2 linked regions of the Callithrix jacchus genome follow. Each later gene encodes a partner of the first gene's protein in a complex. Links are inferred from orthologs where the notes say so. Each region holds a gene or a part of one and is shown in the gene's direction. Other genes may lie near its edges.

Region 1 (3,614 bases):
AAGGGATATTGATTTTTTCTTCAAAGAAAAGGAATATTTTGGGTGGTAAAACTCTTACCTGCTTCGTATCACTGAAATATGAAAAGGTGGCCAGTACTGAAATGAAACTGCCACAAAGTGTGTGCAGAAATGAAGAAAGTAAATCTTCAGTGACCACTAGCAAGCAGTCCATTGCTGTGGAGTTTAAGGTTGCTGAAGAGATTCTCCAACTCACTTTTGAATATGGTTTCTATTATTTTGGAATTAGTAGTCTCAGTGAATGTAATAAAATTTGATTAAGAAGAAAATAAGCCAGGCGCAGTGGCGCGTACCTGTATTCGGGCTGCTGAGTTGGGAGGATCGCTTGAGTCCAGGAGTTCTGGGCTGTAGTGTGCTATGTTGATCGCATGTCCGCATAAGTTCGGCATCAATTTGGTGACCTCTCAGGAGCAGGGGACCACCAGGTTGCCTAAAGAGGGGTGAACCAGTCCAGGTCGGAAACGGAGCAGGTCAGAACTCCTGTGCTGATCAGTAGTGGGATTGCGCCTATGAATAGCCACTGCACTCCAGCCTCGGCAGCATAGCGAGACCACATCTCTAAAAAAAAAAAGAAAAAAATTCTCTAATACACTGATGACAAGGAACAGAAAGGTGATTTGGATTGTCATTTTCTCTACTTATGAGTAGAGAGGCAATCTAGCACAATTATCTAGAAGTCTCTGAGCAGAGTAGGAAGATCTGGGTTAATTTTGCAGTTCTCTCACTTGCTATGTAACTTAGTCAAGCAATTAGCTTTTAGGAGCTTTTTCTGTGAAGTGGGCATTGTAATACCCATCTTATTGTTGTAAGTATCATGTGAACATCGCATCAAAATGCTTCATAATTTCTAAAGTACTTTACAAATATCAGGTATCAGTTACTCCGGCAAGAGCCACATCTCCTCTCAAGCTGTTAGTATGGGGTTGAGTCAGTCTATTTATTAGTTAAGCTGGGTTTTCTTCTTGCTGTGGTTACCAACCTTACTTTATAGGATTCAAATTCTAGTCGTGGTCTGCCTTTGCTTCGTGCTTAGAGTGGGGTATGGTGGCTCTCTTTCTTCCTATGCCCTGCTAAAAGCAAGCTAGACTCATTTCTCCTTGGAGGGGCCTTTTCTTGTTGGGATTGAAACTACTTGGTTGCCCTGCGAGATTCCAGCTCTCCGGTGGACTCGAGAGTTAATATTTGAGGTTTATTAAGCTTTTTCTCTGTTGGGGTGGGAACCAAGTTATTCCCAGCTTTCTGTGTAGATAGAGGCAAAATTCTGTGTGCAAAGTATTTTGTTTTTTACTAAGGTGAGTATGATATGTTTAGAAACACAAATTATTTTAGTAATACTACAGACACCACTGCTTCTCAGCTAGTAAAACATTACCAATTCTGAGCTGGGTGCAGTGGCATGCAGTGCTCCTGTAATCCTAGCTGCTTGGGAAACTGAGGTGGGAGGATTGCTTGAGGCCAGGAGTTTTGAGACCAGAGTGTGCCACATAGTGAGACCCCATCTCAAGAAAAACAACAAAACAAAATATTAGCAATTCTGGCATACTAGTTTCCAGAATGATAAAAATGGTTACTATAGGTACAGTATATGTTCTTGCATTTTCTCGAGAAGATATTGCATACAAGCTGAAACTGTAGTGAAATTAATTTTTCACATGTGATTTATGGTCTTGTCCATCGACCAACTCTAAAAAAGAACTCATTATCCAGTTTACTTTTTCTTACAGAAATATGATTCATTTGTCTGAAGTATTTGACAAATACTTGACCGTTTTTTGTGTTGTAAGACTGTGAAGAGCAGGTGGAACTTCTAATGAGCATGAGGCACCTCTGTCAGAGATACATAGTCTCTACTTTGCTGCTTGCTACATGGCTAGAATGAGTAGATAATGTCTGACCATTTCTAACCTATGATTTGTTTATTCTAATCCTTCACACCAAGATTTTCTACAGAGAACTTTCTTACTGTTATAAATGTAACTTTGGCTGATTTATAAGCGAACATTGAGAAGGAATCTATACAAATGCACCTCTAGAGAAGGCTCATTTAATACGTGACTGTATATAATATGCCTGTCACCATCACTAGGGTGTAGGAGGAAGGCAGATAACAAATTAAAGTCTGTGCTTTAATTATGATAGATTAGAAACATCTTTGTATATAGGAGGACCTATATGTCATTGGACACAACTGAGAATATGCTTAGGCCATATTGGTGTAGATACTACAAATTTATTTTCATAATCATTAATGTGCCAAAGTTAAAGCAAAATTTTAAAACTGTAGAAATATACTTAAGAAAAAATGATGAGTATTAAAACATTTTACTTTGCTTTACTTTTTAGGTTGTAGATATTTTCGGTATATTTTAAAGCAAGATCACCAAATCTTAGGGAAGAAAATTAAGCGGATGAAGAGATCAGTGAAGAAATACAGTATTGTAAATCCAAGACTCTGATGCTGGATTTTAGTTTTTTCACAGTAGTAGCTACACAGTAAGCAGCTCAGTAGTTACTGAATGTATTTATGTAGTGTATTAAGAAGCTTATATGAGTCTAAAAAACTTATTTTTATATATTTTAATTTATTTATAGCTAGAGAAACAATATTACTGCCTTTGCTCTTTGTAAATATGTCTGTTTTCTTTTTTGTAATATTAAATGTTACATTTGTTAAGGAATAATTCTTGAAATTCAAAAATATTTAGAGAATATAGCTCTACAGCAGTTATTGTTTGCAAATAATTTTCCTCTGGCTATTGTGTAATAAAATACAACTTGTGGTACTGTAAAATAAATTGGCATTCTTTTTATTCTAATTAATCCATTTTAGGTATACCACCATGAAGAACTATATTGGTGATGAGTTCTGTTGAGGAATTTTGAAAAGAGAGAAGGATTTAGAAAAATACTTTTTCTCTTTCAGTATAAAGACTTGACAGTTTGGGGCAAAATATCCTCCTGCTAGAGAGAGACCTTTGACTCTAGAGGACTAGTTTGGGTCACAGCAGTGTAGAAGTCTGGCTTTTTTCAGCTGGCACTGGCCTAACTTTAAAGGGCTCTTGGCTTTTTTGGTGCCTGGCGCAGCAGTCTAAGACATGCTTAGAACTCACGTGTCCCCTCTCCTTTTTCTCTTTTTTAGCCAAAAGCTATAAAATAGGATTATGATTTATCTTGATCTCTAAGAAAATGGAGGTGAGGATAAAAGAAATGAGTAGATATGATTATTGGTTTTCATACAAAACTGTCTCTTAAAATGTTTACATCAGGCCAGGCACAGTGGCTCACCCCTGTAATCCCAGCACTTTGGGAGGCCGAGGCAGGTGGATCACAAGGTCGAGATCGAGACCATCCTGGTCAACATGGTGAAACCCCGTCTCTACTAAAAATACAAAAAATTAGCTGGGCATGGTGGCGCATGCCTGTAATCCCAGCTACTCAGGAGGCTGGGGCAGAATTGCCTGAACCCAGGGGGCGGAGGTTGCGGTGAGCCGAGATCGCGCCATTGCACTGCAGCCTGGGTAACAAGAGCAAAACTCCCATCTCAAAAAAAAAAAAAGTGTACATCAGAACAATTAGGTAAGAACAGTTAGATGTTC
Region 2 (4,557 bases), on another chromosome or scaffold:
CTCAGCCTCCTGAGTAGCTGGGATTACAGGCACGCGCCACCATGCCCAGCTAATTTTTGTATTTTTAGTAGAGACGGGTTTCACCATGTTGACCAGGATGGTCTCGATATCTTGACCTCGTGATCCACCCGCCTCGGCCTCCCAAAGTGCTGGGATTACAGGCGGCAAGACTCTATCTTTGTAAAACAAACAAATACAAAATGTGGTCGGGCACGGTGGCTCATGCCTGTATTCCCAGCTCTTTGGGAGGTTGAGGCGGGTGGATCACTTGAGGTCAGGAGTTCAAGACCAGCCTGGCCAACACGGTGAAACCTGGTCTCTACTAAAAGTACAAAAATTAGCCGTGTGTGGTGGTGGATGCCTGCAGTCACAGCTACTTGGGAGGCTGAGGTGGATGGACCTCTTGACCTGGGGAGGCGGGTTGCAGTGAACTGAGAGCCCGCCACTGCCCTCAAGCCTAGGCCACAGAGCTAGACTCTGTCTCAAAAAAAAGGGAAAGAAAGAAAGAGAGAGAGAGCGCGCGTGGGAGGGAGGGAGGAAGGGAGGGAAGGAGAAAAGGAAAGAAAGAAAGACAAAATGTGAAACATTTCAGTGATTCTGCATTGTGAGTTAAATGTTACAGCTAGGCTTGGTTGAGTACAGCAGTGAGTGACATGTCATACCAGTCCTGGAGCTTAGTCACGGCACAGACCCTGTGGATCAAATGCAGAGGACTCCCTAAGGGATTGGACTTTTTATACCTGGAATTGTCCAACTTATGGCACAAAGTAGGGTAAAGAGACCAGATTACTTTTAAGGCCCGTCCAATCCTAAAATGACGTGCACTGTAAATTAAGACTAGACAGCTCTAATGGCTTTACTGGTTTATCATAGGAAAAAAAGATTTGAAAGCAGAAAAATCAAACCAGTTCATTAAAATTACTTTGGGAGGGAAAAAAAACCCACGAAACTACTCAGGAACCGGTTTAGGAACTAGGGGTGAGCGGGAGCAGAAGGAACCTCAGGAAAAAGAAATCCTCTACTGGTCTCGTTTGTGACTTGTTAGCCAACTTCCGGGAGGCAGAAAGGGGAGGTCACGAAACAGGTGCAAAAGTGGGCGTGCTATGGAGTAACACTGGCGTCCAGCCCAAAAGTTACACACCTGGAGTCATGGTCAAAGGATGAGCCTTCCCAGTATTTTAACACACAAAGGTGTCTGAAGGCAAAAGCAGACCCAAACACGCACATATCCCACCCGCCACCCTCGCCACACACCCGGGACCAGGTTTAGAAAGCCAGGCGACAGCTCAGCAAATGCGAGCCACCGGAAACAAACCGGGCTTCTCGCAGTTCTTACCCACTCCTAATTGTCCTCATGTTTTCTTTTTGTTATTTGCCGAAATGTTCTTGGCTCTTCCACTCACCGAATCGGTCACGGAAACCCACAACAGAGCAGAGTCCTGATCTTCGCTTCGGCCAACCCCGCCTCCTCAGATAACGCGAGCTGAAGCTCCGCCTACGTTAGCCGCTCCTCCCCGCGCGGCGAGAAAAATGGCTATCCTGCTTCCTGTCCTCCTTCCGTCGCTCGCCTTCTTCCCGGGTGCTAAGTTGTATCGCGAGATTTCGGCCTCGCTATTACCTGGGCCGCGGGGATTGCTCACCCTTTTTTTCTGCGCGGTTGGAAGACGCAAGGTGGTTCTCGGGAGTTGGAGAACTGAGGTCGGGATATTGGTGAGTGCAGGTCTTCAGGACTCACGCAGCAGGCCAGTCGCGGGTTTTTGGCCAGAAGCCTGGGTTACAGTCACCAAGTGCGCAGTTAGGGCCGGCGTGAGGCGGTTTTGGGTAGGTAGACGTGGGCAAGGCCGTCCGGCCCTGGCAGCCGGGTGAGGCGTTACAGATATGGGTTTTTTCGGGGCCCCAGCGTTGGTCCGGAGGATCGAGTCTCGGAGGTAGGGCGGAGAGGGTGAAGGGTTCGCAGCTCAGGCCCCTCAGCGCCAAGCGGCTGGAGGCCCACACAAACGCAACTGTAGTGTGGGCGGCCTTCATTATATCTTGAGATGGAGGTGTTAAAATGTGTTGTGAACGAGTTTAACTTCCTTACGTGGTTTAAATGATTTAACCTTCATATATGGGAGACAGCCATTACTAGTGCCGGTTTCCTTGAGGTAAGGCGCTGCGGGGAGAGACGCGCTGGTGATAACGGTGATAGCTCCGGGTAAAGCGCCGCTCTCTGACCACGAGACCTCTTAGGAATCGCTAAATCCCGGCAGAGGCATCGACACCTAAGTAGGATGTGTTCCGAAAAACTTAGAGAAAGTGATTATTGAGCTAGCTTTCTTTTGATAATCCCTATTTAAAAAAAAAAAAAAGCAGGTATACCATTAATGCATGGGACCAAATTATTGAATTCGGTTTTTGAGCATTCGATACTTAATGACTTCGTAGAATCTTGTGCTTAAGAAACTAAAACTACAAGATGTTCTAACAGGAAATTACCACAGGGGTCCGTTGGGCATTTAAGAAATCTGAGCTCTTGGTGACCTTATCGTTTTCCTATATTTGAAATATTTTGCTAGTTTATCCTAGGATTTATATGTAGTGACTCATGTCGGGTCCTAAGAAACTACGGAATGAAACAAGAGAATGACTAAGGCTAAGACAGTAGTGAAATAAGTAGTTACCTTTATTGTTTATTTTTGTTGCCAAGCCTATTTTTTTCCCCCATTTTTTTTTTTTTTTTTTTTGAGATAGGGTCTTGCTCTGTCGTCCAGGCTGGAGTGCACTGGTGCAATCTCGGCTCACTGCAAAGCGATCCTCCGGCATGGCTGGGAGCACAGCCACAGGCCACCACACCAGGCCAGTATTTTAAGAATTTTTTTTTTTTATAGAGACAGGGGCTCCTTGTGTTGCTGAGGCCCACTACAAACAACCTCCATCTCCCAGGCTCAGGTAATCGACCTACCTCAATACCTCAGCCTCCTTATTGGGACCATAGGCGCGTACCATCAACATGGCTAATTTTTGTATTTTTTGTAGAGACTGGGTCTTGTTGGTCTTGAGCTCCTGGGTTCAAGTGATCCGCCCGCCTCGACTTCCCAAAGTGCTGGGTTACACAGGCATGAGCCATCCTGACCAGCCTGTTTTTCTTACAAGAAGGAATCGTTTTCTTTTTTTTGTATGTTGCCTTTTTTTTTTTTTGTATGTTGTATACTCTACTATGGAGATGAAGAGACAGAATTATGATAGTTTATCGAAAAAGGTTGAGAATTCAGAATTTGTCAGTTTCCACCAATAATGGCAAAGATACAGTATGACGAAATTAAGTTACTTAAATGAATCTAGGAATGAATGAGGAATCTTAGAATTTAAAATGGTCTATTGAATTTGATCAGGAGTTTAAAATGGTCTATTGAATGGAGATCGTTTTCCTGGTTTATTATATAGGGCACATTTTGCCTTAGCAATTCCCCTTCGATGTAGGAAAATGGCTTTTAATTGTACATTAATACTGTGTTGGTAATTATATGTTAATATGTGGCTAATGATAAAACTTCATATTGAAAGAGGCTTTTGTCCACCTTGTCTTTTTTGGAATCTTGTTTCATTGAATAGATTTAGAGGGTAAAAACTGAAAATCTGGAAATAGAATTTCTGGATTTTTTTTTTATATAGAAATTGATCTGAAGTGGATAAGCAGCTTAAGCCTGGTAAATGATTTTGTCCAAAATGAATGGCATAGTCTGACTGTGTTGAACATTATAGTAGATACCGTGTCAATATTTAGGGAAGCTTTGTCACATTTACTAAATTTCACAATTTCAGAAAACTTTAAAACAAAGAACAACTGATGGATAAATCAGGAATCGATTCTCTTGACTATGTGACATCTGATGCTATGGAACCTGCAAATCAAAGGTAAGTGGGTTTTTACTGGAGAACTGAGTAGATCCAGTCATATTTATTATATCTGAATTACTTTGAGAAACTAAATTATTATATATAATGAATGACAGTGAAGATAATTTTCGGGAATTGGGAAAGAAGGAAAACCAGATTTCACTGACCTTCCATGTTTATCTAGTTTATATAGATTGATATAATACTATTGCAAATAATTTTAATTTAAAAAATGAATATATTCTAATGGGACACATTCTTAGAGAAAAAGTTTATTCTTTGGGTCTCTTCTGGACTACATCATCCTGTTTTTGTATGGCAGGCTGTGTTTTTTTGTATTTTTTTTGTTTTTTATTTTCGTTTTATCTTTTTTTTTTTTTCATTTTTGGCAGGCTCTCTTTTACTCAGGCGTTTTTAGCAGTGAATCATACAGTCTTGGTTGAGCTCATACATTATCTTGAAAGATACATGATTTTTTTTTGAGATGGAGCTTCGTTCTTGTTACCCAGGCTGGAGTGCAATGGTGCGATCTCGGCTCACCGCAACCTCCATCTCCTGGGTTTAGGCAATTCTCCTGCCTCAGCCTCCTGAGTATCTGGGATTACAGGCACGTGCCACCATGCCCAGCTAATTTTTTGTATCTTTAGTAGAGACGGGGTTTCACCATGTTGACCAGGATGG

The links.
Region 2: TATA box-binding protein-associated factor RNA polymerase I subunit A (region 1) and TAF1D share a complex: the UniProt entries of both Homo sapiens proteins name them as parts of the transcription factor SL1/TIF-IB complex. The link is inferred for Callithrix jacchus from reciprocal best matches to the Homo sapiens genes TAF1A and TAF1D.

What each region holds. Positions count from the first base shown.
Region 1 is NC_133520.1:17,637,958-17,641,571, reverse strand, and holds the end of TATA box-binding protein-associated factor RNA polymerase I subunit A, read left to right. Parts: intron 1-2,361; coding exon 2,362-2,474; 3' UTR 2,475-2,813; downstream 2,814-3,614. UniProt on the Homo sapiens protein: Component of the transcription factor SL1/TIF-IB complex, which is involved in the assembly of the PIC (pre-initiation complex) during RNA polymerase I-dependent transcription.
Region 2 is NC_133511.1:46,622,026-46,626,582, forward strand, and holds the start of TAF1D (TATA box-binding protein-associated factor RNA polymerase I subunit D), read left to right. Parts: upstream 1-1,610; 5' UTR 1,611-1,710; exon of another isoform or gene 1,711-1,821; intron 1,822-2,730; 5' UTR 2,731-2,835; intron 2,836-3,801; 5' UTR 3,802-3,826; coding exon 3,827-3,894; intron 3,895-4,557. UniProt on the Homo sapiens protein: Component of the transcription factor SL1/TIF-IB complex, which is involved in the assembly of the PIC (preinitiation complex) during RNA polymerase I-dependent transcription.